Rattus norvegicus: one gene and its partners. The protein of the gene in region 3 interacts with the protein of the main gene of each other region in a pairwise test. Links are inferred from orthologs where the notes say so. Each region holds a gene or a part of one and is shown on either strand. Other genes may lie near its edges.

What was found.
Region 1: the proteins of Smad4 (region 3) and Atf7ip interact in a two-hybrid assay, tested with the Homo sapiens proteins (2 studies listed by BioGRID and IntAct). The link is inferred for Rattus norvegicus from reciprocal best matches to the Homo sapiens genes SMAD4 and ATF7IP.
Region 2: the proteins of Smad4 (region 3) and Ewsr1 interact in binary tests that used the Homo sapiens proteins (3 or more experiments, as listed by UniProt). The link is inferred for Rattus norvegicus from reciprocal best matches to the Homo sapiens genes SMAD4 and EWSR1.
Region 4: the proteins of Smad4 (region 3) and Dcp1a interact in binary tests that used the Homo sapiens proteins (3 or more experiments, as listed by UniProt). The link is inferred for Rattus norvegicus from reciprocal best matches to the Homo sapiens genes SMAD4 and DCP1A.
Region 5: the proteins of Smad4 (region 3) and Pias1 interact in a two-hybrid assay, tested with the Homo sapiens proteins (2 studies listed by BioGRID and IntAct). The link is inferred for Rattus norvegicus from reciprocal best matches to the Homo sapiens genes SMAD4 and PIAS1.

The regions. Positions count from the first base shown.
Region 1 is NC_086022.1:171,196,164-171,201,445, reverse strand, and holds part of Atf7ip (activating transcription factor 7-interacting protein 1), read right to left. Parts: intron 2,720-5,282; coding exon 2,300-2,719; 3' UTR 1-2,299. UniProt on the Homo sapiens protein: Recruiter that couples transcriptional factors to general transcription apparatus and thereby modulates transcription regulation and chromatin formation. Can both act as an activator or a repressor depending on the context.
Region 2 is NC_086032.1:84,193,382-84,199,039, forward strand, and holds part of Ewsr1 (RNA-binding protein EWS), read right to left. Parts: intron 3,566-5,658; coding exon 3,379-3,565; exon of another isoform or gene 3,259-3,378; intron 3,216-3,258; exon of another isoform or gene 1,471-3,215; coding exon 1,303-1,470; intron 1-1,302. UniProt on the Homo sapiens protein: Binds to ssRNA containing the consensus sequence 5'-AGGUAA-3'. Might normally function as a transcriptional repressor. EWS-fusion-proteins (EFPS) may play a role in the tumorigenic process.
Region 3 is NC_086036.1:69,546,107-69,552,516, forward strand, and holds the start of Smad4 (mothers against decapentaplegic homolog 4), read right to left. Parts: upstream 3,579-6,410; 5' UTR 3,451-3,578; coding exon 3,202-3,450; intron 1,522-3,201; coding exon 1,347-1,521; intron 740-1,346; coding exon 710-739; intron 1-709. UniProt on the Homo sapiens protein: In muscle physiology, plays a central role in the balance between atrophy and hypertrophy. When recruited by MSTN, promotes atrophy response via phosphorylated SMAD2/4.
Region 4 is NC_086034.1:5,700,453-5,706,110, reverse strand, and holds part of Dcp1a (mRNA-decapping enzyme 1A), read right to left. Parts: intron 5,593-5,658; coding exon 4,834-5,592; intron 3,113-4,833; coding exon 3,047-3,112; intron 1,813-3,046; coding exon 1,597-1,812; intron 1,338-1,596; coding exon 1,257-1,337; 3' UTR 1-1,256. UniProt on the Homo sapiens protein: Necessary for the degradation of mRNAs, both in normal mRNA turnover and in nonsense-mediated mRNA decay. Removes the 7-methyl guanine cap structure from mRNA molecules, yielding a 5'-phosphorylated mRNA fragment and 7m-GDP.
Region 5 is NC_086026.1:72,236,134-72,241,791, forward strand, and holds part of Pias1 (E3 SUMO-protein ligase PIAS1), read right to left. Parts: intron 4,094-5,658; coding exon 4,056-4,093; intron 1,399-4,055; coding exon 1,105-1,398; 3' UTR 345-1,104; coding exon of another isoform or gene 207-344; 3' UTR 1-206. UniProt on the Homo sapiens protein: Functions as an E3-type small ubiquitin-like modifier (SUMO) ligase, stabilizing the interaction between UBE2I and the substrate, and as a SUMO-tethering factor. Catalyzes sumoylation of various proteins, such as CEBPB, MRE11, MTA1, PTK2 and PML.

The DNA of each region.
Region 1 (5,282 bases), on a different chromosome or scaffold from region 3:
ACCAGTATTGTCAGGCTAAAAATGTAGCAAACCGGAACCCCCAGAAAGGGGACAACTGAGCTTGTTTATAATACTTTTGAGAAAAGACACCAGGAAGTAAAAAGTCCTCCACTCTCCCTCACCAACAGCCAGATAAAAAGCCGATACCCGTCAGCACCTACATTTTGCCACTCACAGGTTGAGCATATTCGGGAAACTCAACATGACTGCTGCCCAAAGAAAAGCATCATGACAGTCATCTGAGGAGACGGCCCACGATTACACTCTCTGTCTATACCTTCTTCCAATCTGGAATAAACAGTTTACAGTAATTACTTTCTGAAGTAAGTAAGTCACATCTAGAGCCATTATTTGGGACTTTTTTTTCCTTTGACAAAAAAAAAAAAAACACCCACTGGGCTTTCTTCACGTGATTATGTAACACTATGAAAACTTTTTAAAGAAGAACTCGTAAATACAAAATAATTACTTAATAGAAACAAACATATTATCCAGAGACTCTCATTCGCCAGTGAGCAGACCAGCCAGGGAAAAACATTCTGAATACGCGTTTTGTACTAAACAGGAATGATGGTGACCAGACCAACACTGCATCCGTAAGACAGACACCCTCAGTACAGAGACATGCTCACAGCAATTAGGAAATCATTTCTTCCTTCCCAAAGCCTTATTACCATAACACTGGCAACAGTTTCCCATGATTGTGAATCTTGGCAGTCCTAGTGACATGATTGCTTGCCAAGCTGAACTTGTGGGAAAAGGATTCTGCTGTGGTTATCCTTTTTCTCAGAATGGAAGGTTAGAAGCATTTACACTTTGGCAACTGCAGGCTTCCTTCATAAAGATGACAGACACACTTTTTTCATAACGATTCCTTCTGTAAGCCATCAGAGAATACACAGAGGGAACAGGGCTCCTGCTTTTAATACCAGGACAAGTGAATGGCTGATGCAGCTTGTGAAGGTAGAAATAGGACTTGAAATACCGTAAGGAAAGACAGCTCAAAAGTGCCTTCAGCCTCCACAAACGCCTCACTTGTCCCTAATGCTCGTGCTCCCCTCAGGTCTCGAAGGCACCTGCCTGACTCCCTGCAGCTGCCATGCCTTGGAAATGCAAGGCTGAGCCTGAGTCTATTAATGTATTGAAGGAGAAACAGTAAAGCGAGCAGATCTACCCCAAGTATGGAATGACCCCAATGGTAGCATTTAGGCTCTACTGAAACCAGATTAAATCAGACTCCACTTGGCACCATCAAAACAGTTCTGACTAAAGCAGTAGGGACCTCCTGAGAATCAAGAGGAAACTGAGCTTTTCTAGTCTTTCATGAATTCTGACATGAAAGGACACCACCCCGTGAGTGCTGAGTGCTGAGATGAACCAGAACTTCCTTCGGATTCCCTAATATAACATGGATGCTAAAACAGCCTTAAGGAAATTTGTTCCTAAACACTATGGCAATTTAAGATGGGCAGTTAAATGATGGGCAAAGATAGAAATATGTTCTTAAAACATGAGTCAGAACTGTGGAGCTGAGGACAGTGACGTCATGGAGAATGCGTGCACACACACGTGTCCACATCTTGCTTCTCAAACACTTAAAAGGGTGCGGGATTTTGGTGGCAATGAACTAATGAAAGCTTAAAGAGGAATTTACAATAATGGACACATGGCCTGTAGACTTCTGCAGTTAAGGCACGAACACAAAAGGAGAAGCCAGGAACTCAGGTGAGGGCAGGACACTGTTCACCTTGTCAGCAACTGAGAAAGCAAAGCAAACACAGGGAGTATCCCCTGCTCAAATCCATCTACTTTAAGCTGAATATTTTCCTTTATTTCTTTCTTTGGGTTTTATTTAGATTCTTTGATCTTAGCCTCCCCTCGAGGCAGAATCACACCAGCTCTGCACCTCAGATTCGCTCACCAATACACTTCCTACTGGAAGAGAGGTAAATTTGAGAGGAAAACAGGAGATCGCACTGTGATATACATACAACTAGAAATTTAAAATTTCAAAGAAAGGAAGAAAACACACAAACACCCATACATATTCCCCAGCCTCAAAACCAAAGCAAGGAATAAATATACATTTCAAAACCCCGAAGTTTGAACTGTTCAGGGGAAGACTTGCTTTATGGGCTGAATTTATTTTGCTTCCGGTTCATAAACAAACGTAGTGTATACAGTCATCTGTCCGGGAGATCTTGCACAAGATGGATTTTTACATTGAATTTCATGCACAAGATTAAAAACAAGCCCAAATGTGAAACCTTCAAAAGTGAAAGCTAAAGAGCTCCAAGGTCTAACTGCTCTGGGACGAAGAGATCACGTCCGTGGACTGAGGGTCACAGAAAGGCCCAAAACGGCCATAAATGTCCTTGGCGCGCACGGCAAAGTAATACTTGCTGCCAGACACAAACTGCGTGAGAGTACAAGCCATCGGCAAGGGGAGGGCTTTGACTTCGCCGATCTTCTTCCACTGTGAGGGCGCAGTGGCACTGGGCTCCTCGTGGTAGGCGTACAGATGGTAACTGTCCACGGTGGCACAGCTCCGGTCCACTTCCAGGACGCTCCAGGACAGGACAATGCCATTCTGACTCTGCACTCGCGCTAACTTCAAGTGTGGTTTCTGAGGCAGAGAAGTGTTGGCAGCTTCTGGGGGCAGGCGCTGTGGCTGCGGGGCTTCTGGTAAGGGCGCTGGATGCAGAGGGCGTGGGGGCTCCTGAGGAAAGAAGAGGTGGATTGGTCTCTGGTGATTACAGAACAGGTTCAGAAGATCCTCAGTGAACACAGAGCTTAACTAACAACCTCACAACTACAACACCAATACCACTACCATTGCCCCGACAATGACGCTAAACTTTCTCAACTAGACCTCCTAAAGCACAAACATTATGTTCTCCTTGGGAAACAGAAATCCCTTCCTAATGGACTATCATGGAAGAGATGTTGATACAACTATGTCTAACAAATAATTACACTTTAACCTCTGCTGTAGATTCTCATTTTAGGAAAGCACATACGCTTATGTGTAGCATATAAACGGGTACATGCAATCACACCGCTCTACAACTACTGTCATATAAAGACAGCAGCACGTGTCTGGATGACGCTGAATAGCACTGCGGTCTGGCGGGTCCGGATGAAAAGGGGATACTATGAAAGACAGGGGACAGACTTATAGATGCAAAACGGCCAAATGCTCTCCACCCTGTACCAGGGGAAGCATGAGCAACAGTGGCAGAGGAAGCAGGAAGTTAGCCAACAACAATAAGTTCCAACACTTTCTTTGACATAAAAGACAGAAAGATCTAGAAGAGGAGGCTACGACCAGTGATTCAGAAGCATGGAGCTGACCCTGGAGAGCCCTGGTGACCTAACCCCGCACAGCACCAGTTACTGAAAACACTGCGCCCACAGCTGTTCTCAGATGATACTGATAACAGTTTTCAAAGCAGTAAGAGTCAGGACACACAGTGAACCTAAGTGGGACACGATACTCATTGACTTTCTGGAGTCACACGTTGTCCTTTAACCAACACTCCTGAACAAAACATAGGGTGGGCATGCAGCCGAGTGCTATCCCTACTGTGTGAGGCACTATAGCACCCAAGCAAAGCAAAGCAATACAGTACTAATTGTATGGATAGTTAATACAATGCTGAATTATGGGACAGTTCAATAATGTAACATGCTTTTAGATTCCAACGCCTTAATATAGTTAAGCTGTCTAAAAGTCAAAATATTCTACAGTCTTAAAGAAAAAAGTGCCAAGTTACAGCTTAAGTGTGATCGCCCCTAAGGAATTATCGTTCAGCTAGAGTTCAAAACCCAGAAGAAAACCTACTAATAAGAGAGCATGCAAAATACAATCCTACTGTAAGAGAAGCTACTCAAAGAACAAGGAGGACTGCGCATGTTAAAATGAAGCTGGAAGGAGCTGAAATCATATAGTGACGATTCCAAAGGGGATGGTTTGCTCAAAGGCACTATTTCTCGTAGAAAAGAAATTATACATACAGTTGTGGAGAGGCACACACACTCACCAGTTAACAGACAAAACCATGCTCATAGAAGCCCAAGGTTAAGGGAGTAGTATCACACCGAGAGCTGTTGTATTTCCTGTAATTATCTCTTCCTGAAGTGACTTAATCAACTCATTAAAACTATACAGCTAGCCAAAGCTAAGAGAAACTGACTGAAACCATGGGCTTAGGAAAGAACAGGAGTTGAATGGGTTTGCTCAGAGTGTATATGGCCAGCTGTACTCTGAATACATAAATTACGTATGCTTTTTGACTACTCCCACGTTACTTACAACCAGTCAAGGGTTTGTGTTGTTTTGTGTTGGTTTTGTCAGTGCAGCTGGTGAAGTTTTAGACTAGAAATACACCACTAGGTATTTACTTAAAAGAACCAAATGTGTCTACATAGACAGGGATCCTGTGGTATGCCAACTTTTGGGAAACTGAGGCAAGAGGACCAAGAGTTTGCCCCAGTCTGAGCTACAGGGAGAGCCCTGCCTCAAAGGAAACCAAGAAATGTAGCATGTACTATAGGGATCAAGGGATAGAGACAAACTGCCAAGAGCTGAAACCTGTTGAAACGGTGATATACAGGAACTACACTCTCTTCCCTTCAAATGTTTGAGAATGTCTTTACAAGGAGTTTTAACTGCATTAAAATAAAATTAAAAGTCTACGCCTGTAGCAAAACAGTTTAAGCTCTAAGAGTAAAAGCTTTCAAAAGCTGTGGTGGATTATAAACTGGGGAATTAGTCTAGTTTATTGTTTTCCTTGAAGAAAGCAAAACATACTTTTGTAGCTACAACAACAGAAATTTGTCATGCACCTCAGAACAGCTAGACCTGAAGCAAGGCCGTTGCGGAGGCCGCCCTGATCTGACCGGCTCTGGCGGTGGTGGGCGAGGACACGGGGCAACCAACCGCCGATACCTTCGTGACACACAACCTTGTATTTTCGTCCCCTCCTTTTTTTCTGCCAAAGTGAAAACACTACTACTGATCCCCATAGGATTACAGGGGTAAACAGTACAGTAAAATGCTCAACCAATGGGGCTACTTTTCAAATTTCAGTAAGATTAATGAAGGTCACAGCTGTTCAAATCTAGGTTCTAGGGCCGGGGACGTGGCTCACTGACACATACACACAGCCATAAGCACTGGGGCTTGTAGGCGGCACCATGGGTTGCCGACTCAAGCTCTGACTATCAGCTGCCACACAAGCAGTAAAGACCAGAAAGTCCTTCAGCACCAGCCTTGGAGT
Region 2 (5,658 bases), on a different chromosome or scaffold from region 3:
CCTGCTCTGCTAGGGAACAGTTATAAACCCTGCCACCTCTGCTCCTACTTGTATCCAAGTGTCAACCTATGAAAGGGACACTGTCCTGGCTGGTTTTGACACAAGCTGGAGTTATCAGAGAAAGGAGCCTCCCTTGAGGAAATGCCTCCTGAGATCCACCTGTAAGGCATTTTCTCAACTAGTGATCAAGGGGGGAGGGCTCAGTCCACTGTTCTCTAAGAAAGCAGGCTGAGCAAGTAAGGGGAAGTAATCTAGTAAGCAGCACCCCTCTTATGGCCTCTGCATCAGCTCCTGCCTCCAGGTTCCTGCTGTGTGTGAGTTCCAGTCCTGACTTCCTTGGGTGAAGAACAGAAATGTGAAAGTCTAAGTTGAATGAATCCTTTCCTTTCCAGCTTGCTTCTTGGTCCTGATGTTTTATGCAGGAATAGAAACCCTGACTAAGACAGATACAAACAGGAACTATTTATTATATCTTAGCCAATTAAAACAATTCTTTCAATTCACAGGTCAGAAAACTTGTAGTTTTCCTTAAAGAAACTAAAATTGGACAATATAGCTACAATGATTAGGACAGAAAATGAAGGACAAGGAAACTTCAGCTGGAGTCCTTCAGAAGTACCTTTCCAGCCATGAACAAGACCCCAGATTCCCTCTCCAGCACTACAAACGGCAGCAGGAAGTCTTGTCCTTAACTTTACCCATGGTGCCTGTGTTGAGGGGATAATTGCTACAGTTCTGTGTAGGTGGTGTCAAACATTTGTCTCTCATACTTTTTTTAAAAAAAGATTTAATGGGGGCTGGGGATTTAGCTCAGTGGTAGAGCGCTTACCTAGGAAGCGCAAGGCCCTGGGTTCAGTCCCCAGCTCCGAAAAAAAACCAAAAAAAAAAAAAAAAAAAAAAGATTTAATGATATATAAGTATACTGTCCTTGTCTTCAGACACACCAGAAGAGGGCATCAGATCCCATTATAGATGGTTATGAGCCACCATGTGGTTGCTGGGAATTGAACTCAGGACCTCTGAAAAAACAATCAGTGCTCTTAACTGCTGAGCCATCTCTCCAGCCCCATACTTTCAGTTAACTGACGTTTTGGGGTCATTATTTAGAGAACAGTTATTAGCTAGATCCCAGGCACTGCTATGGAACCCAATGCTGAGGTCTAAATATTAACTACGTTTGTGGTCAAATATGGGCAAGTCAGAAAACAAATCTTACCCAAGGACGCCAATGCTAGCTAGTCAATAACCTGAAAATACCTGTCGCATTATTACTAATTCACTGGCCACAAAAGTGAGACTGACCTGGTAGGAGGATAAGATGGAGGTGCGGTGACTGGCTGCATCGGGTAGCTCCCAGGAACCTGGGGATAACTGTAGTTACTCTGTCCATATCCTAGGCTGGGTTGATTATAACCCCCTGTGCTAGATTGAGGTTGACTAGTCTCAGCAGGCTTGTTACCATCCTGTGGTCTAAAAGGAAAAATAAAACAGTTAAGGTTTAATTTTAACAACCCAGACACCCCCTAGGTAAGAACCCCCCAGTTCTTTGAGCAATAGGAAATGATAAGACCAAGCTTGAAAATAAAGTAAATGAAACCCAGTATCATTCATTAGTATTTGCTGGAAGAAAACACTAAGAGAGTTAACAATGTTTTTGTTTTTAAAATTTGTTCTGTATTAACAGCTACTAAGAGACTTCATAAGCCTGTGTCGCCAATATGAACAAGTACTGGGAGGGGGAGGAAGAAAACACTTTTTTAAAAAAGTGAACTTAACAGGGTTGGGGATTTAACTCAGTGGTAGAGCGCTTGCCTAGTAAGCTCAAGGCCCTGGGTTCAGTCCTCAGCTCCGAAAAAAAGAAAAGAAAAAAGAAAAAAAGAGTGGACTTAGTGCAAATTCAAGTTTAGAGTTATTTTAAGGTCACTAATTTATAGATTTTGATATCTGTGGGTTCACTGACTAGAAACAAACAAGAAGAGACACTTCTTATCTTGGTCTGATGTAAATGAACTTAACCTTGCTATACGACAATCTCCACAAAATGGGCATGGGGATGAGTCCACCCCATGCTCAGACTAACTAGCAAATACCATCATTAAATAATAAAAATAATTCTCAACAACACAGAAATAACTCAGAAGTCCCACTTCCTTGTGGCACAAACAATTTAGTGGAAGGCAGTGGCAGAGCTAAGCTAGGGGGCTACTTAAAGCAAAGCCCCGATCAGCAGGTGGACTACAGCAGATGCAGAAGTACTGTTTCCTCACTGAGATGAAATGGGTTACAAGCAGGTGTCAGCTCAGAAAACTAGGATGGAGGAAAGGGTGACACAAATCAGTGACTTATCAAAACCAATTTATACACGATGGAGATCTGTGGCCTAGATACACACTACTGCAGAAGAGCATCACATGGGACTTTGTATATCTAACAAAATTCTCCAATATTTAACCCAACTAGAGTGGGGCCTTTAGGAATCAGCCAGTTAAATAAAAGTACTATACGGGGTTTTTTGGATATTAGCTACAAGTGGCTCTGACTACTCACTGCACTTTAGAAGTAATTTTGAGAGTGTTTGCCAGAGCTAATTTCTTACCTCTATAGCAGATAAAAAGTCTAGGTTACAAGGTGATCTCTTGTTTATTCCCTATAGTCTTCTTTCAAATCAGAATCTTGTGCTCCTTCAAGACTGTATGCAGAAGCCACCTACATGCATTGTCTAAAGTAAAGACCTGAAACCTTCTGTTAAGTAATATATCTCACTTATCTACTGAGCAGTCAGAGTACTTTATTGGACTCTTAATATTTAGCACATAACTGGCTAACCAGCTATAAATTTATTTGTCTATGACTTTTGGTTATCAAACCACTAATCACTACATATATTGAGGAAATCTTGTCAAATTCTTCAACTGAACCTTCCCAGATATGGAAATATCCTTTACTGACAAAATTGGGACATACAGTACTTCTTGACTCAAGTCTAACCGTTCCACCATGTACTACAACTACCACATATTTCCTAAAGGAAAGCAGTTAACAATTTACAGCGTCACTGAGCCAAAGATTAAGTTCTATTGCTAGTTAAACAATATGGGAAACATGTACTCAAGTTTCCTTGTGTTTAGGAAAGAAAAACAGCTACCTCCTTCCCCCAAAAGTAGTTCTGAAACCTGGCAGATGACACTTTCCATTTCTAGCCCTCAACAGAATACCTGTGTGCTGTGCTCAGGCACTCTGGAAACACTGGGGTAATACCTGTGTGCTGTGCTCAGGCACTCTGGAAACACTGGGGTAACAGTCAATACCTAGTGAACGTGAAGAGCAATTTAAATCACCAAAGCTGAGCAGCAGAGGAACCAACAACTGTGGCCTTACCTTGTGGGTGCAGTGGCTGCTGGCTGCTGGCCATAGGCTGGGTAGGCAGGCTGGGTGCCGTATGCAGACTGAGCTGCATAAGAGGCCTGCGTTGTGGTGACGGTAGCAGTGGTGGTGTCATAAGCCCCAGTGCCATATCCTTGGACAGGCTGGCTGTACGCCTGGGGGGCAGTTGGAGTGGTATAACCTACAACAAAAGAGACCTGGGTAAGATTCTCTGCCCGCCCTGCCAGAGCCATACCTGTGCATTTATCACCAAAACAACTTGGAAACGGTCCAACTCTGAAGCACCACAAAACTGAATTCCTATATTTTTCTTGCAGCAACAAAGTAGCTGCAAAAGTAGCAACAAAAGAGTGTTTAAATTGTTTTTATTACATGTATTTATTTTGTATTACGTGTGTGTACATGGGAGCTCATCATGGCATGTGTGTGGAAGCATAGGACAAGTTGTGGGAGTTGGATTCTGGTCATCAAGTTTGGCAATCAAGTGCCTTTATCTGCTGAGCCATCTCATTGACCCCAAAATATTTAAAATCTAAAGCACCATTTCTGTTTTCAAAATATATTTATGAGAAAAGTGAAGTGTGTTTACTGTTGTTTTGACAGGGGTCTCATGTAGCCAAGGCTGGCCTCAAATCCCTTACGTAGCAGAAGATAACCTTCAACTTTTGATTCCTGTTTCAAGCCTCCAGCCTTGAGAATACTGGTCACACCATACCTAGTTTATGTGGTGCAGGACCCCATAAATACCAGGCAAGCACTCTACCAACTAAGCTACATTCTCTACCTCAAGAAAGAATAGTCTTAAAAAAAAAAAAAAAAAACAAACAAACAAAAAAAAAAAAAAAAACAAAAACCACTAAAACACATTGCCATGGAGAGCAGGCTTCTTTCTGCCCTGGTGTGAGTAAGAAAGACAGGGATGGTTTTTTAGTGATTATAGACACATTTTTTTCAACTAATTAAAAAATAAAACAGGAAATAAAATGTTCCAGAAAGGGAGGTAAAAGGACAACCCTGGTACTGGACTCTTTGCCTTCTTTACAGTCAACAGGCACAGTAAATAATGCACTAAAAGGCTGAGCCCAGATGCCAGGATTCACATCCAATTCTCACAAAAGTTTAAAAAGGATTTTCTGATTGGGTGCATGCCTGTGATCTCAACATTCTCAGATCACAATTTCCAACAGACTAAACTACAAAGGAGAACCTAGTTAAAAAACAATACACAAAAACAAAAAGATCTCTAGTTTGAGGCCAGCGTGGGTTACAGAGGTCTAGAACAGCTAAGGCTACACAGAGAAACCCTGTCTTATAAAAACCCAAACAAATAAACAACCTCCCCCAACAAAAAAACCCACCCACCCACACTGAAAACCCCCAACATTAACAAAAAACAAAAAAGAGCGTTAATATTTAAAACCTATCTTGAACCAAGACTACTTAATTTAGTTTACACTTAGGACTAGCCAAACTTAAGAGGAAGAGAGACAGAGACGTATCATTAAATTGCCCAGACTTGCTTGCAATGCCTTCCACCTCAAATGTCAGATTTCTGGGATTACAGCCATGTACCACAACCTGCTTCTTTGATGCAGGATCTCACTATGTAGCCCTGGGTGGCCTGGAACGTGCTGTGTAGCTCAGGCTGGCTTTGCACTCACTTGGGATCAGCCTGCCTCTGCCTCCCAAGTACTAGAACTGAAGGCCTTTGCTAGCATACCTAGCTCAACTTTTTGAATCTAAAGTACTTTTTGTAGCACTAACACAATCCTTTCTTCTCAAACACTCAAAGGAGATCCTAAAATTATATACAAAGACCATATTTTCCCATCTAAACTGGTAAAAACCATTAAAAATGTATTTCACAAAAAAGCCTTAACAATTTTGAGTTGACATGCTCATGTTAAGTGAGATTTTTGTTCTGTAGTGTTGAGTGTAGAACCCAGAACCTCACATACATGTTAGGCAAGCATCCTATCATGGAACTACACCTCCAGCCCTATGTATCTGAATCTTTGTTTTAAAGTTCTAAAGGTAACCATTCACATTCAACTACAGTTGAAGTCCAATTTCTCTAAGACTTCTCCCTTCTTCCAAGATTCACAGAAGTTAAACACAAACTAAACTGATGAAGACAGTAACTTGTATCTCTAAACTGCAGTGAGAGAGCCTGTTGTAACAATTTTATAGTAACAGATACTGGGCTAATTAGTAATCTTTTTAATAATCTGAAGCACCCACATAAGCAGCCAAGCAAAATGAACAAAAACCAAC
Region 3 (6,410 bases):
TTATCACGAGTTTCCTAAACCCTAATTCTAAGAGCATGGATGAGAATGGTAACACCCTGCAAGGCACTTATTCACAAGATGTCCTGAGCCAGCAGAGGAAGAGGTTTCAGCAACCTTAAAGCCATCACCCCCAGAATCAGGGCTCCCACTACCACCAACCACAGTTCTAGAAACCTGTAAGCCACACAGTGGATGCCTCTATTTCAGGCACTTGGAAGGAAGAGCCTAACGCCAGGCAGGCTTTCCAGAACTGTAAAACTGTGGGAGACCACGTTCACTGCTCTACGATGACGATGCAGCATCTCCGTAAGTTAGGACTGAGAGGGTTCAGTTCCTTAATAAAGCCATTTTTAAAATTCCATTTTCATATATACTAAAACACCCAAATTAAAACCAAGTGGCTTTTCTCATCTCAAAACACTTTAGCCTTTTGTTTCACTGGGGCTTTGATGCCCCTTCTGGCTTCCACAGGCAGCCGACACATACGATACACAGGCATACACGCAGGGAAAACACTCAAATGCATAAAATAATGTAGTAAGTCCAATTTTCAATGTTACTACATACCTCCCTACTAAATCTGCATGTTCAGTGTAGCAACTCTTTTCTTTTTAGTGTTACTAACTCCTACACAAAGCACTTATGAACAGGAAATAAATAAGACATGTTAAAAGAAAAGAGAAAAAGTTACAAGAATCTAGTTACTTACCATTACTCTGCAGTGTTAATCCAGAGAGATCTTAATTTTTTTTAAGGAAAAGAAAATGAAACATAAATCATTACCATGAACATATCTTCCATTACATTTTAAGTTATAGAACATCAAGTTAAGCCAGAGATTATAAAAATTCATGGGCCATTTCAGTTTAAAAAGTGAAGCAAACATTTACTATATGTGTATCTAAATTTCTATTTATATAAATACACATACACATATATATATATGTCTCTCATCTTATTTATAACAACAATGTACAAAAGAGGTAAAGGATCAATTTTATATACTCAGTTTTAGAAGTAAAAAAACCCCACAACTTGTTCAGATTTAAGCATTTACATCATCTAACACATCTGACTCCTGAGCCAGGCATGGTGGCGCGTGTCTCTGTGACAGTGCTCAAGACTGGGAGGAAGAAGAGCAAGAGTCACCCTTGGCTACACGGCCAGCTCTTGGCCAGCCTGGGACATGAAACCCAGTCTCAAAATGAATTTTAATTCTGATTCTTTAACTTCATTTGAAGTCTTGAGTAGTCCTCAAATACAAGCTTTAACTTCGAGAACTTAACATGACTGGGGTCTTTTCCCTTTACACATCTGTGACGGTTCTGCAGTGACAGTCCACTTACCAATTCCAGGTGAGACAACCCGCTCATAGTGATATGGGTTCACACAGACGCTATCACATTTTAAGTCAAATGCATACTGACAATATTTAACATGTTTTAGTTCGTTCTTGTGTAGATCAGGCCACCTCCACAGACGGGCATAGATCACATGAGGAAATCCTTTCCGACCAGCCACCTAGGACAAGAAGCAATTATTAATTTATTAAGTATAAGTTATGCAAGGGACTGTACAGAGTGAGAATCCATGACACTGCGAAACACACGCATGGCCTTGTTCCAATTTCCTTGGATACAACTAAAATCCTAGGCTTCTAAAAGTCGTCTCTTCTTTCTGAGGTCTAAGCCAACTGAAGTCTAGAGCTCCCAAGCATCATCAGAAGGGGACAATCACAGGAAAGACCATGGTAGAACTTTAGCCCCCACTCCCCAACCTCTGCTGAAGGGAAAGGTTACAATGTAATATAGAGCTGATAACAATGTTAATTTATGTCTAGGTAATTAAACCTGCAAGAGAAAAAAAAAGAAAAGAAACAAAAGAACAGGGTTTGAGAGCCTGGGATAGCTGACCACGTGGTTATGGAAGCTGGTCCTCCTGGAGAGGCTATGGAGGTTTACCTTGCCTATGCCTCTCTCAATCTGTAGCCCTTGCAATAGCCTTCATAATGGTAAATATGGTTTCCTCAGTTATGGGAGATGCTTGAGTAAATTACTTGAGCCTGTGGGTGGGACTGTGGGAACTCCTGACAGCAGACAGAAGCACAGGTAAAACAACCAGACCATTATGATTGGCATCTCCAAGTAGACTGGGTCAGAACTGAACTGAATTAGAGGATGCTCAAGGACGTTACCTGAAGACCGGCTTGTTTACCAAGATAAAAGAAATCTTCATGCCTTTTAAAGTCATGTCTTCAGCATATACTAGGAAAAACAGGTTTGTGAGTCCCACACACAATTCCACCCCTGCGGCCAATTTCAGACTGCGACTATCCTTTCAAAGACGAGAAATCCAAAGTTCAAGCTAATTGAAACATAGGAGTACACACCTGTGATCTCAGCCCTCGGGAGGCTGAGCCACAAAGAATAAACAGCCTCTCCAGAATCTCACTACAGCAAGAATTGGACTCCCACAGTTCAATTTCAAGGCCTGCACTCAGGTTTTTAAAATGCAAAAGTGTGAAATTGTCAAAAATTATGTCTAAAATCTAGAAATAAAATTCTAAAATCTACCTTCACATTTCCAAACTTCCTCACGCATATGATATCACTTGAAAAAAGTGACCACTGAGTATTGCACTCCAATGAAAATAGTCTAACATCCCTAAATGACAAGAGTCCAGTGTTATCAGTTAGGATATTTACAATACCAAAAAGGGTTGGCAGGTGGCGAGTGTGAACTATAAGATGAATGCCAACGTGCTATACAGGAAGTTCGCTTTCAACATTGGGTTTCTCATTTAATTTTTTAAAATTGTTCTTCACTGCATGATTTTTGAATAATAACATAAAAAGATAACATCTATCTTTTATGTATTCTTCCACATACTCTCATCAGGCACACTGGCAAAAGATGTACAGTATGTCGAGACAGAGCTATGGAGCTCGGGAGATAGCCCAGCACTGAGAATGCCTGAGGCTCTGCTCTGAGGCAGCATCCGGGAATGCTCTCTTCTGGCCTCTTTCAGTATCTGTACACATGTGCACACAAACACACATAAGCAACAAAAATAAATCTCTAAATATATGAAATAAATATATGAAGATGGAGCTCACATTAAATTGGTAGTAACTTAAGAGAAAATTTTAAAAGTATCTATTACTCTACCAGCCCAGAAGACGTTCAGAACTCCAGACTAACCTGCAGTCGTCCATCCAGTGTTCTCTGTATGGTGACACACTTGCTGGGGTGAGCTCCATTTGTAGTGATAGCTGTTATTAAAGAATCCAGTTCATCTTTCTTCTCTTTCAGCTTCTTTACCAGACTCTCAATTGCTCTTTTGGCAAATGTCTCACTCTCTCCACCTTGTCTGTGGCACATCAAACTGTGTACAATGCTCAGACAGGCGTCATTGCTTGTCGGTGTATTTGTAATAGACATATTGTCCATCTGTTCACGTTTTTTCTTTTAAATCAAACTTTCAAATTTCTGGAGTAATTTTGATCTTTTGAAGGCAGTGAAAACCAATGGCCAATGTTGTAAGAAAAATTTTCAAGACATCTGGTGAGCAGGATAATCTAAAAAAGAAGAAGAAAGATGAGAACACGTTTCAGAAGGTAGATACAATCATTGTGGGAAAGTTTTGAAAAACTTTTCCACTTAAATCAAAAGACTCAATGCCCATAGTTTTTAAGAATGTTTAAAGTTTGAAATGACAATTATAAAATATAGTTTTTGATACTCCAAATCATTAAAAATTCAGGCCTTCTCATCACAAAGGCACACTAAATCAAGTCTTACCAAATGTGCCATTACCCCAAACTTTTCCTTAGTTATTTCTGCACCCTATTTTCTACAGCACTGCTACAATCCTGACCCTTCTTAGCATTTATACTCGCCATTGTTATTTCACATTCACCTTCTCTAGAGCAGTGGCTCTCAAGCCTCGCAGTGTTGAACCCTTTAATACACTTCTTCATGCTGTTGATTCCCAACCATAACATTATTTCATTGCTACTTCATAACTATAATTTTGGTACTGTTTTGAATCATAATGTAAATATCTGATATGCAGGGTATCCGATATGCAACCCCAGTGAAAGAGCCATTCAACCTTCAAAGGGATCATGACCTACAGATTGAAACCGTTGCTCTAAAATATTTTTATAAAATGCTTCTCAACTCCTTATATCCCCACATAAGGAAGCAAATGTTCGTGTCTATCAATAGTTATCATTTACTCACATGCATAAATATAAATAAAAAGATGAAACAAGGTCTTACTCTGTAGCCCATGCTGGCTGGACCCGCCACAATACCCCTGCATTAGCTTCCTAAATGCTAAGGTTACAACCAGCTAATAAACTGTCATCAAAGAGACACTTTCCAGATAACTTTTTGCACGAGGATGTGGAATCAGAGATCAGGATTAGGATTCCAGTTATACTAAGCAGCTAGACAACGAGTTACTTAACCCTTGAATCTGGAACTAAAAGAACTCAAGGGAGAAAAAGCAGTATGAAGCGCACTGTACAAGGTTTCAGCACAAATACTCCCTGCCTGAATCCTGAGGTACTTGTTTTTAAAGGATGTTATCCGAAACACATTATACACTCATTTATTATATCTTCTCCTAGTAAAGCATTCCACAGAAAATATAGGAGACAATGACAGTTTAGCCACTGACAGTTCAAAGGCATACAGAAGGTTAGATAAAAGGACAACCATGTGTGCAGCGTCCACAGTCTCACTTTTAAATAATGATGATTTGTTAATGGAGAAAAGGAAGAAGGGAGAAGTATAAGAAATCACTGTACAGTCAAAAGAAGAAAAGAGAAACAGAAAGAGAAAACACAAATCCTGGCTAGGCATGTAGTGCACACCTGCAATCCCACCTTCTTGGGAGACAGAGACAGACCATAAACCCAATGCCAGACTGTACAACTCAGTAAGAGCTAACTGCCTGACACACACCCTATACACACACACACACACACACACACACACACACACACACTCTGCCAGACTGTACAACTCAGTAAGAGCTAACTGCCTGACACACACCCTACACACCCTACACACACACACACACACACACACACACACACACACACACACTCTTTTCCTAAGGCTAAGTAATAAATTGCCTGCTTAGCACGCTGTGAAGCCCCAAGATTCAAGATTTGGACTGGAAGAAAAAAGCTCCACTCTAACCTGAGAACTACTAGTCTGATACCTCTCACTGCCAGACTCACTAGTTTAACTTCTATATTACAACACCTGCTGTGGTAGTTAGAATAAATATGCACCCTATAGGTTCAAATATTGGAATGTTTCATCACCAGGGAGTGGCACTATTCGAAAGGATTAGAAGAATCGGGAGCTGCAGTCTGGATGGAGGAAGTGTGTCACTGGAGGTGCTAGGCTGTGACTTTCTAAAGCCCTCCCCACACCCTCTCTGCCTGCAGAACAGCTACTGCTCCCACTAAGATGATAATGAACTAAACCTTTGACACTAAGCCAGCCAGCCCCCAACTAGCCTTGGACTTGGTGTCTCCTGTGTCTCACTCTTCAGCAAATGAACAGTATGACTAAAACACCTGTGGACCAAAAACTGGAACTGTCATCCTCATCATTATATACCCATTGCTAGGACAGGACAGGTAAGTCCCGCATACTGTCCAGCAAACACATTGCTGTGTTTCACATGCTTAACTCATAGCATTCTTTAGCCTAAAACATTCATCCCCATTTTAACCACTCGGTAATTAAGCCCTAGCTTCCTTTCAAATTACAGCTAAAATATTAATTGCCCCCATAAGGGTTTCCCCTACTAAGCTGTTGCCTTGCTCTCAACCTCAGTTACCTCCCTAATATGCTTATGTTTCTTATTGATCCCCTCCCTCAAATTTAAATTTAAATTTTAAAAAATATATATTTATTTTGTCTCTCAGTTCTAACAGTTAAATAACACTACAAATGTAGAGGGTCAAGAAAACACAGTCTCACATTTCAAACTCCCAATACCATGTAGCTCCTGACTATGGTGATATGAATAAAAATAGCCCCAAATACTCCTATGTTTGAATACTTGGTCCCAAGTTGGCAAGGACCAGGAGGCATGACCTTGTTAAAGGTGTGTCACTAGGGTCTGGGTGGTGGGATGGGTTCTCATCATTGTCTTCGTGGTCACCACCTCATGGTTGTGTCTCACCATGTAAGCTCTCACTCCCCACCATGATGACCAAGGACTGACCCTGTGAAACTGGAAGCCAGCCCCAATTACACACTTTCTTTTCTAAGTTGCCTTAGTCATGGTGCTTTGTTGCAGCAGTAAAAACATTAAAAAAAAAAAGACACACCAACACATACCAAGCCAAGTGTCTATAGACTGACCTGACCATTTTTAT
Region 4 (5,658 bases), on a different chromosome or scaffold from region 3:
GCCTGCCAGCATTATTCACAGCGAGTCCTTACGCTAGCTGGTTGAGCCAACAGGGTTCTTACCCATCATTAAATAGTGCTCAGAAAAGTAAGCAGTGCATCTTAATTGGTTAAATACTAGAAAATGACCTGTATCATAGAAACGAAGACACTTTTCATTCAAAGAATATCTCAAAATTACTATTGCTGAAATAATCAAATTCTACATTAAAATATTACCAAACACCATTACATGCCATAAAAGAATAAATAGAAACCATGGCAGATCGATAGCAGCATCACAAAGCATTTCTACAGTTCTGCACTGCGGCCGGAGGGCGCAGCCTAGGAACACACTGTGAGGTCTGGGTCTCACACTTGCTTGACTCCATATTCTACAACGAAGGAAGGGCAGTGTGGGGACAGCTCCCTTTTCTGCATAGCTTTAAAACTGCTCTCAGCACATCTGAGGAATGGAACCAGAATGGCTTTGTCAGATTGGTCCACTGGTCCTTTGCCAGCAGTTAAGGAAAACAATCAACAACAACTTCAACTGTGTTTAGACGGAGAAGGAAATAAGGCTGCGCTTCACGCACAAACGTGACACTAAACTGCTGAGAGTTCACTAGAATGGAGCCTTCTGGTAGGATCTGGATCTGTGTGCCCCGGCCTCTGCTTCAACGGTGTGAAGCCTCCTCTCCACCGACCAGAGCCCTGCGGGCCCCACCCAAAGAGCTGTGCTTCACGGAGTCTGCGCAGGGCAGGGCAGGCCAGGGACACCTCCCGGAACACAAAGACATCCCAGAAGTCTTAAGGCCCAAGCGGGTGCTCATAGAAAATAGACTTCACTTGAACAAATACCTTCCAAAGAGTCGACTTAAATCCTGATCCTTAAATCTTGAAGCTACTCTGCGAGCTGACATTGAGTTCAGAGCTTCTAGGGGTAGAGGAGGGAGGGCGTGGGCTTCACTGAGGCTGGTGGCTCCTCCCAGGCCTGGAGAGCAGCTGACAGCCAGGCCCTCATTCCACACACGGGCTTACAGCTGATGAAAACGCCCACGGAACTCAACACAATGGTCTCTTGCTGTTTTTGTCAAACAAAGGTTTGCTGGTGATGCTTCACAGTGAAACCTCCATCATCACTGAGAACGTCTCTAGAAACATCCCTAAGGACGAGGCCCTCAGGCTCCTCGAAGCTCCATGTTCTCCTCAGACGTGCGTGAGGAAGCCTGCTTGTCTGGAGGTGGACCCTGTCCCTGCGCACTGCATCCACTGCAGTCATAGGCTGTGGTTGTCTTTGCTCTTGGTCAGAACCTGCAAGTAAACTTCATGAAGCGTGCTGAGAAAGCCGGAGTCATTCTGGAAGAGACGGGAAGGACACACTGCCTGTTACTTCCTCAGAACTCGCCTCTAAGGTAACCACTTAGGAACACACAGAACTGACTAATTCCCCAAATAACCTGCCCCCGAGACAGTCACACTTACATCCACCATTCCATTTTCCAGGAGGATATACCTGGGAAAGGAGGCTGCTGCCAGGCAGGTTTCTGAATTTGCACCAATATACACTAAGCCTTGTCAAGCGTGAAATTAAAAACTAAGCAGACACCTGACATACCTTTATTAGATGTATCAGTGTGTCCTGGAGCTGAGACCTGCTGAGAATAATGGAAGGCTTCCTCTGATTTTCTGCTCCAATAGTGAGGGGGGAGGGGCAGCTGGCTTTCCTTTCTAGGTCTGCAGACCTGGGAACTGTTTGCTGGAACACACTGGGGGACAGCAGGACTGAAGATACTGCTGTGGTTGTTGCAGTAACCAATGGAGGGCCTGCGATCTGTGGGACACAGAATAATAGTCATTTCTGTTATCTGAGCCACTCGGCCTGCCTGCCCCTGCCCTTAAGACCTTATGTGTATGAGTGCTTTGGCTGCATGTATGCTCATGGAGGGAGGGAGGGAAGGAGGGAGGGAGGGAGGGGAGAGAGAGAGAGAGAGAGAATGTGTGAGAGTGTGTGTGAGAGAGAGTACATGTGAGAGAGAGAGTGTGAGAGAGAGAGAAAGAGAGTGTGTGAGAGAGTGTGTGTGAAAGAGTATGAGAGACAGTACATGTGAGAAAGAGAGAGTGTATGTGTGTGTGTGTGTGTGTGTGTGTGTGTGAGTGAGAGAGAGAGAGAGAGAGAGAGAGAGAGAGAGAGAGAGAGAGAGAGAGTGTGTGTTGCCCACAGAAGGCAGAAGAGGGTGTTGGATCCTCAGGCAGGAGCATCGGTACCGCTCAGCAGGTGCAGAGCCAGCCCTCCAGCCCCTTGGCTTGCTTTCTGGTATAAAACTGGGTTAGTTGCTTCTGCTGATGACCACACAACAGGACAGGCTAACTTAAAGCAGACAGAAGGTAACCTCTGAAAATCCAGGAGAGGAGAGGAGAGGAGAGGGGACAGGCTCATAAGCAGGTGAGTGAGTGCCGTGGGAGAACTGAGTCTTTCAGGTTGGCAGGTGAATGGAGGGGTGGATAACAAAACAAGGCAGGTGCTTATGAGAGGAGGAGGGACGTACACAGGTGAGGAGGCTTTGTCATCACAAGTAAGGGACTGTGGCAGGACAGTGGCTGTCTCCTGGGATGCTTCATTTTCCAGGAGTACCTCTTATAGAGACCAGGTTGATATACGGCCCAGCACCCACCCACTTACAAATGATCCACACGGCCCACCCAGTGGCTGACCCGCCCTCTATACAGTCAAGACGTCTATACAGAGTTAACACAAGGTTTCAGGCCACAGCAACTCTGTCCTAAAAGGGCATCTGAGACAGGACAGAGCTGGAATGCTACAGCTTTTCACTAAGGTGGTAAGAGCCCACCTTACACCAGAAGATCCCACAACTGTTCAATGTGCTCTCCAGGGGTGGGGGGAGGATGTCCCAGGGCTGGGGAAATGGCTGAGTGGGGTGAGTGCTTGCTATGTCTTCACACACACACACACACCACACACACACACACACACACACACACACACACACACACACACACACACACACACACACACACACACACACCACACACACTTACTTACTTACCGGGATGGCACTGGGTAACACCTTAGGCTGGGCAAATACTTCAGGATCCTGGTTTTGCTGCATAGACTGAAATGTTTAAAGGGGGAAAAGGATGAACAGATACAGCAAGCTTCAGTTAGTTGTCGGCGACAGAGCAGTGTTATTACCCAGGAACTTGTTGGTAATGCTCCCAGTGACTCATCTCCACAACGAGGGCCCTGGACAGCAGCTCCTGTGGAGTCCCCGAGGGATGTGTGGACAGAGCCTGTCAGGTGACTCTAAGAAGTGTGATGGGGACTGAACTCAGGGCCAACTCTACTAGTGAGCCCTATCCTCGGCCCTGGAGTTTGTTTCAGTCTAGAGGTTGAGACGCACCTGAGTTTGCAATCTTCCTGTCTTGGCTTCACAAGCGGCTGCTGCACACAGAATGTGCACGATATAAATGATTTAAACGTTTTCTGCAGTGCTGGAAGCTGAACTCAGAGCCTCGCGTATGACAGGCAAGTTGCTCTACTGCCATTGTCCACAGTCCCAAGTTCTCAGAGGTCCTCTGACCCTGGTTAGTGGCACTGAATAGCCTGCATCCTAAGTACACTGTAGGGGCAGAGAACGTCCTGGTGTTTTGTTTTGAGACCAGGGTTGTTCAGCCGGTCTCTAACTTGAGACCCTTGTGCCTCAGCTTTCTTGGCAATGGTTTTACAGGTGTGCACTCTCATGGCCTTGGGAAAGCATTAGTGCAGCACAGTAAACATGAGAGCTCCATGCAGACCAGGTCTTTCTGTTTTGATACAGGACAGCCTTGGCTGGCTTGGAGCTTGCTATGTAGACTTGAAATCACAGATTTCTACTGAAACATAGGCGTGTGTGCAGTGCACTATACCAGGCAAGAACAAAATCTTAAACTTTGGCTACTGCCATCTAAATGGGTATTCACATGTATGTAAGTGGTTCCTGCCATCTAAATGGGTATTCACATGTATGTAAGTGGTTCCTGCCAAGCAGCCTGCAAGAGTGTGGTGCTGTCTTCTGGGGCTGAATGTGAAGACGACAGGTGCAGACCATCGCCTGAGCGTCCAGATTAACTGCGAGTTGGGACAGACCCTTTCCCCCTACAATCAGAAACCTAAACTCTCTTCCGTGCCCTTTTTGTAGTCTATGAGAGCAAAGGAGAGGATCGAGTGACACCTACACACAGCACAGAGCCCTGTCACTGAGCAGAATGCTCGCTCCTTTCACGTGTCAGATCCAAATGCTGGCAGGCAGGCAGGCAGGCAAGCAGCAGGCAGCAGTCATGGAGCGGCACACTCCCTTCAGGCTGTGACCATGCGATGATCACAACAACTCAGCTCATTTTCTCGCTGGTAAATCTGCTGCTGATGAGTGACTTTGACAGGCAAACCTCTGCTTTACCTCTGTACAACCTACCATGAAGCCTCACTGACACAACATTTTAAAAATCCACTTGTCCACAGTGCTCAACCCAGGCCCCTAATGCTCAGGCCCAAGTGATTGACAGCTTGCTCTGGAATGGGTGGCCTGACTCCTGTTTCTGACATTAACAACAAGTCACACTCCTTAACTTACAATGTATTCCTCTTCCAATGCTAACTCCTCCAGGTTTGTTTACACAGCAAATCTGAGTTACTACAAAACCTGGAAAATCATTTATGCATGCACACATGTGTACAAGAATGCACACGTGTGTATAAGAATACACACCAAGTTCAGTTTCAGACCATAGAGAGGTAAGGATGGACAGGGATCCCCCCTCCTTCTCGTTTCTCTTCCCCCTCCTGCTCCTGTCTTACCTGGAGGGTTGGAGCAAGCACCATGTTGCTCAGGGAGGCTGCGACTGCTGCTCTTGCTGCTGCTGTCTTAGAGGAAGGCTCTATGAAGCTCTCAGGGGTGGCCAGCTGGCCAGCTGCCGAAGAAAAGTTGGGTGCCATCGCACCTTTTCCAAGTGGCTGTGCCTGTATTTGGTCATGCTGTGGGGTCAACCTGAGTTTCTGGAGCAGATCAGAGCTTGGGATGGCCGTGCCAGCTGTGTTTGCCAGGCTCACTGGGGCTCTGAAGGGGCTCTGGCTAGCAATCAGACTGCTGTGGCTTAGCTCAGGGACGGGCTGGTTCAGGAGTGGAGATTTCTGCCTAGGTGTGGTCCTTACTGCTTGCATCATGGTGCTATTCCGAGGTAAGTGGGGAACTTGTGTGGTGGGAGCTTCAGCTGGCAGAGTGGGGCTGAGGACAGGGCTCAGTGGGAGAGTGTAGCTTGGGGGATGCTTGTCGCCCGACTGTGCAATGGAGGCGGGAGTGATCAGCACAGGGGCGCTGACTTCAGGCTGGACTGTGTGGTGAGTGACAGAATGGACACCCAGGTTTTCAGCCTGAGGGGCTCCCCCTGACTGCTCAAAGGGAAACGGGAGGAATGAGCTGGGCTCTTTCTGTGGTGCATCTCCCAGCAGCTTGTCCGTGTCTTCTGACTCTAGGCCCATAGGTGCTGGCTGCTCCTTTGGCAAGGAGGTTCCAAATAATTCTTCCACCGTCAGATGCTTGTGACCGGATGGAGCAGACTGAAAAACAAGAGCAAACGGCGCGCTCGAAGAACGCTTCGGAGACCAGCGGACCCACAATCCTCT
Region 5 (5,658 bases), on a different chromosome or scaffold from region 3:
TCTTTCCTTCCTTCCTTTTCTTTCGATGGAATGGAACGTCCTCTGCCAGCTGCAAATGGCACTCCACACCCCACGGGGCTACGAGGGTTCTTTCAGATCCCATTTCGGTATGAAGATCCTCAAGGAAAACTTGTTACCCTATGGCCAAAATGCAGGTGCTCACAGCCTTGGCTTACATATGGACCACTGGCAATTCAGATTTAGAGTCAACCAAAGTGTATTGTCATTCGAGGGCCTGCCCACAGATTGCTTATCCAGGCAGCTTTTACTCCAGCACTTCTGGGAAACACACTCGTAGAGGGTAGACAGCAGATCACAGGGGATCTGTGATGGAGAACATGCACCTGGGGAGAGTTGAGAAAGATGCTCACACAAGAGTTCAAGACCTCGGAAACATTTTGAAAGAAGTAGGAACTGATATTAAGCAAATGCAAACTGAGGAGGAGGGGACAGTGATGACAGAACAGTACACACAGGTGCACAGCACACGAGAGCATGCGCACACACACACACACACACACACACACACACACACACACACACACACGAGCTCTGTTCTGAAAACAAAGGGGAAGCAGTGAGATAGACGAGTTTCATAACTTAAGGCTGGCAAAACCCACACACACACACAAACAGAATCCAAGTCTGTCACTTTTAAAAATGGAAATCAAAGCTATCCCAACCCCTTCCCCACAACAAAGCCAACGATTTAACCTCATACATGCAACTGTTTCCATTATTGCAAGAAAGATAATGCCATTGAAGTAAAATAAAACCCAAACCATAGGACAAATGGTGAAAAGTCTTCAGAATCCAGAAAAAATGAACTGAAGGTTTGTGGGTGCTTGTTTTTTTCTTTTCTTTTTCTTTTTTTTTTTAACAAGTGTTTTATCAGACAGGCAGTCTTAGATTTATATACAAAAGTAAAACTGAAAATATAGTTTTGTTCTCTGTACATTTCTTTTAATTTTTTTTCCCTAAAAAAAAGGAAAAAAAAAACACGCTGTATACTTTTCTAAACAGGATAAGGTAAAACAGAGCATAGAGTTCTCTTCTGCCAAGTCATTTAATCTGGGATGGGGTGGGAGCAGCAGGGTGAGGGCGTCAGTCCAACGAGATAATGTCTGGTATGATGCCAAAGATGGATGCCGTGTCTGCGCTGCTCCTGCTGGCCACACCATGGCCATGGCTCTCCCTCAGACTGTTGGAAGACACAAGGCTGCTGTTGCTGCCACTACTGCTTCCATTGGTGGCTGGCAGAGAAGTGCTCCCTCCTGCACTTAGCTGATCGAGAAACATCTGCGAGGAGGTATACGGGAAAAATCGGGAGGAGTGCAGGAGGTCCTGGTCATCTGAGACCGCAGCTGCCGCTGCGGCAAGCAGGGAGGTGTTGTAATGCTAGGAGGGACCAGAGACAAAACACTCTGTTACAATCAGATGCACCTCTGTGTACTCTTCTCAGCAAAGCAAGGCCCAGGTTAGCATATCCCGAGTGTCTGGCTTCTCAAGTGACAACACACTCTGTGGTGAATGGCTGGTCACGACTACTGAGAGCAGAGAGCTCTGGCATGGTATCTGAAACTGGAATAACACTTCTGATTGTGTGTGCGCATGTGTATGTTTTGGTTTGTATTGCATGCGGGTCTTAACCCTCTATTTCTGACATGTTCAGAAGCAGTAGAAAGGATAGATCCCGCATTTCCAGTGGTCAGTTCAGCCTGAGAATTGTATCACAGATGCTCAGCTGCTCCCATGACCTGGCTGCAGCTCTGCTGGGCACAATGTTGGCACATATGAGCATCTCTGAGCTGGAAAGGGCAGGAAGAACTTGCTGTAAAAACCAAGCGATGTCCCGCCTGCAGGGGGCACTCTCAGAGTCAGGTGTGTGGAGCTTGCACGTCTCTCTGAGTCAAGGACTGCTGCTGAGTGACTGCGAAGGAAGGCTGAGGACAGATCTGTGAGCTACTGTGGCTTTGCCAGCACTCTAGGCTTAGGCCATTCTACATTTATTGAAAAATTAAATCCCAAACCTAACTATCCTTAATTATCTCAGTTCTATATCAACTTTATTTTGTTTTGAAACATTTATAACCTACTAATTAAGCACAATGAGCTCTAACACTTTCACATGTGTATGTTTTTGATCCTAACTGCTTCTGCTACTTCCTCTTGTTCCCTCTCTCTCTGGCTGATCTCCTTCCTTTTTCCAACAGTCTCTTCGAACGATGTGTCCCAATGAGTTTATTCAGTGTTGCTTACAGAGCACAGACAACTTAGCAGTGGCTATACCACTGAAGAAAATGTCTCCATTAACCATTAACTACCTACAAATCTTTAGCTTCTGACTGCTTTATTCTTTATAATAACACTTAAAGCATGAGTACACTATAAGGCTATGCAAAAATTCCTTTCTTCCTATCTATACCCTATGAGATATAGTTACATATTTTGCTAAAAAGACAAACACATCACACAGACACCCCCCCCCCCCTCAGGTCTACAAAGGTCAGGCAGGAGTTAGAACCAGTCTATTAGGCACATCTTGTTTCCTGGAAGGTTTTCAGGACAGGGACAATGCCTGCTTCTGGATCCCTGACAAGCTACTAGGTCTCATCCTGAGCAGGTGTCATTCTTCAGAAACATGCTGTGGTGCTTTGCTTGGTTTGTGCCTTTCCTCTGAGATGCACTTGTGAATAGCATACCATAAACATGCCCTTTTCTGACGTTCATGTTCCCAAGCATCTGAGGGGGGCTGCTGATGCTTCTCAGTGTTCCTGTGGCGGTGTAGCTTGGACAAAGGTCCTACTTGGGCAGTGGGTCCCAAACGCCACTAAATCTCTTTGATCACCTAGCATGCTGGCTCAGCAGATAGTAGCCCAGGTACTTGAGTTCAATGGGTGGAGTACACACAGAGGTGAGGAGGGCTGACTCCACACAGCTGTCCTTCGACTTCCAAACACGTGCTATGTTACACCAAGCAACAGTGTGCATGCAATAGTAATAAAAAATTAAAAATGTATATACAGGGCCATAGGAGGAGCTGAAGGAGGGAAAGAGATGGATGGAAATAATATAAATAAAGTATGTATGAAACTCTAAAAAAAAATCTCCTTGACTTATTTCTCTTGGTTGGGTCAGAGTCATGCTGTTGGAACAAGCCCACCACACTGACACTGGCATGAAAGAGGACAGACGTGAGCACCATCACCAATGCACGACTTCAATCAGGGCTCCAGCTTGCTGGCATGAAACCCAGGAGGGCATTCTGGACAGTGGCTGGGTCACTGCTTTGACAGTGGCAGCTACTGTTCCAAGAGGGAGGAGCTTCTGTGTTCATATCCTTAGCCACGTTTCTATGGCTGAAGCAGGTCTTTCTCAATCTGTGGCTCTCTCACTGTTTCCAAGGAGACTTCTTGTACTTGGTCTTGCTTTTCGAGTCTGTAGTTCTGGTGCAATAGGACAGCCTGACTGGTGGATGACAATCCCTGATTGTTTCCTTCCATATTCCTTATCACTTCTAATTTTGTACCCAGGTCATTATACATGACCTTTTAGCAACTCATTTTTACATTTCGGACTGAGATGAATAAAGCAGCATGAGCTAGAGTAAAGCATGGAGAAGGGGAAGCAGTCAGAGCTGCAATGGACACAATAGGAAGAAGACAGCGCACTGTCTAACTGAAAGTCAATAGATCTTTGCTATCAATACCCAGTACTCACAGACCGCACAACGTGCCCCTGGCAATGCACTAGCATCACAGGCTACAGCAGCTATGATGCCCTGGCATCAGGACACTTTCCTATATCAGTCACATGGCTCACCGCCCTGTGTCTTTATACAACAGTACTGAGAAACAAACAGGCAGTCACTGCCTTTATTCTTTACTGAAGGTGGGGTGTGATGAATGAGGCTTTTATTTAAATTCCTAAAGACAGAGCAACCCTGGGCACATGCACTCTATTTTCTAAGGAAATTTATTCTTTCTTCTGGCCATGTATTATACTTTTAGTTTAATATACAATTAAAGAAATAGGTTATTTTCACATTAACATACCTGATTGTCTCCTGATAAGAAAGGAAAGAAATCTAATCCTGTGGAAAGAAAAAAAAAAAAAAACCTCAGAGAAAAGAACAACAAAAAGGAAAAGCAAATCTTTCTAAATATTCAGCACTTAAGTCTTACATGCCACACCCTCTGGATTCCTATTTAAACACAAGGAATGACAGACCATGGTGGTGCACACCTTTAATTCCTGCACTTGAAAGAGGCAGAGGGAGATAGATTCTTAAGTTAGAGGCTAGCCTGGTCTACACAGCAACTTCCAGGCTTGTTAAGGTGCAATCAAAAGACTGTCTCAAACAACAAACAACAACAAAACCCTACCAAAACAAACAAACAAACAAAAACAAAGAACAAATCAAAAATCATGAGAAGTCAAACTGGAGGTTCTATGGCACTTCTACCTGTAGACTATGAAGGACAAAACCCAAGTTTTGGCAACTTTAAATTTAAAACCCAAGTTTTATACCTTGCTCTTACTTAATCTCCATATGTAACCATTTATTTATTTGTTTGTTTGTTTATTTATTTGTTTGCCTGTCTGTTTGCTTAGATGGAATTTCATGTAGAGCAGGCTGGCCATAAACTATGTTGACTTGGAACTTCTTAATCATGTCTTCGCCTCTTGAGTGCTGGGATTACAGGGACATACTACTTACCATGTTTAGTTTATCTGGTTCTGGGAATCAAACCCATCCTCTCAGGCACACCTGCAAACACTCCCCTTATATAACCTTTCCATTTAATTTACTGCCTCTTAGGGCCTTACATGACTTTTAGTTTGACTTTACAGGTAAAAATTTAAGAGCCACACAAATTGTAGCCACACAAGGAGAATTTAATTCTCCTTGGCAAAGTGTTCACTTCCCATCATCTAGTCCAGATTAAGACCCAAGGGTGTCTGTATGGCTAGGCATGGTGGCACATGCCTTTAACCTAACATTCAGGGCTGGAGAGATGGCTCAGCGGTTAAGAGCACTGACTGCTCTTCCAGAGGTCCTGAGTTCAATTCCCAGCAACCACATGGTGGCTCACAACCATCTGTAAAGAGATTCGATGCCCTCTTCTGGTGTATCTGAAGACAGCTACAGTGTACTTATATATAATAAATAAATCTTTAAAAAAATTATTTAAAAAAAAAAAAAAAAAACCTAACATTCAGGAGGAAGAGGAAGTTGTATCTGAGATATAGGAGACTGTCTTTAAAAATAAGTGTCTGGTGGTATCACAGAAAGCCTGACCCTAATTCCTGGCTGCAAGCAGACCTTTCCTAACTTATATAATGGTAACATTATCCAGCACTGACATAACAAAGAGCAAGAAAACCAATGGCCTCATGCTGACGTCCAATGTTGAGCACACGAGCAATGCAATATGCTGGCAACCATTCCCATCCACAGCAGAAGAGAGGGCCTCCAGGATGTGTCGGCAGTGATGCATGTGTGCAAGTAGCTAAGGAGACCTGTCTAGAACTGCTGAGAGTGCCCGGTCTCCGGGAAGTTAAATGATTAGTCCATAAGCCACTAAGTTATAAAGATACATCTATAGCTGAAATTCTTTTTGAGACACAAATGAATGTACTGACATATCAAACTTA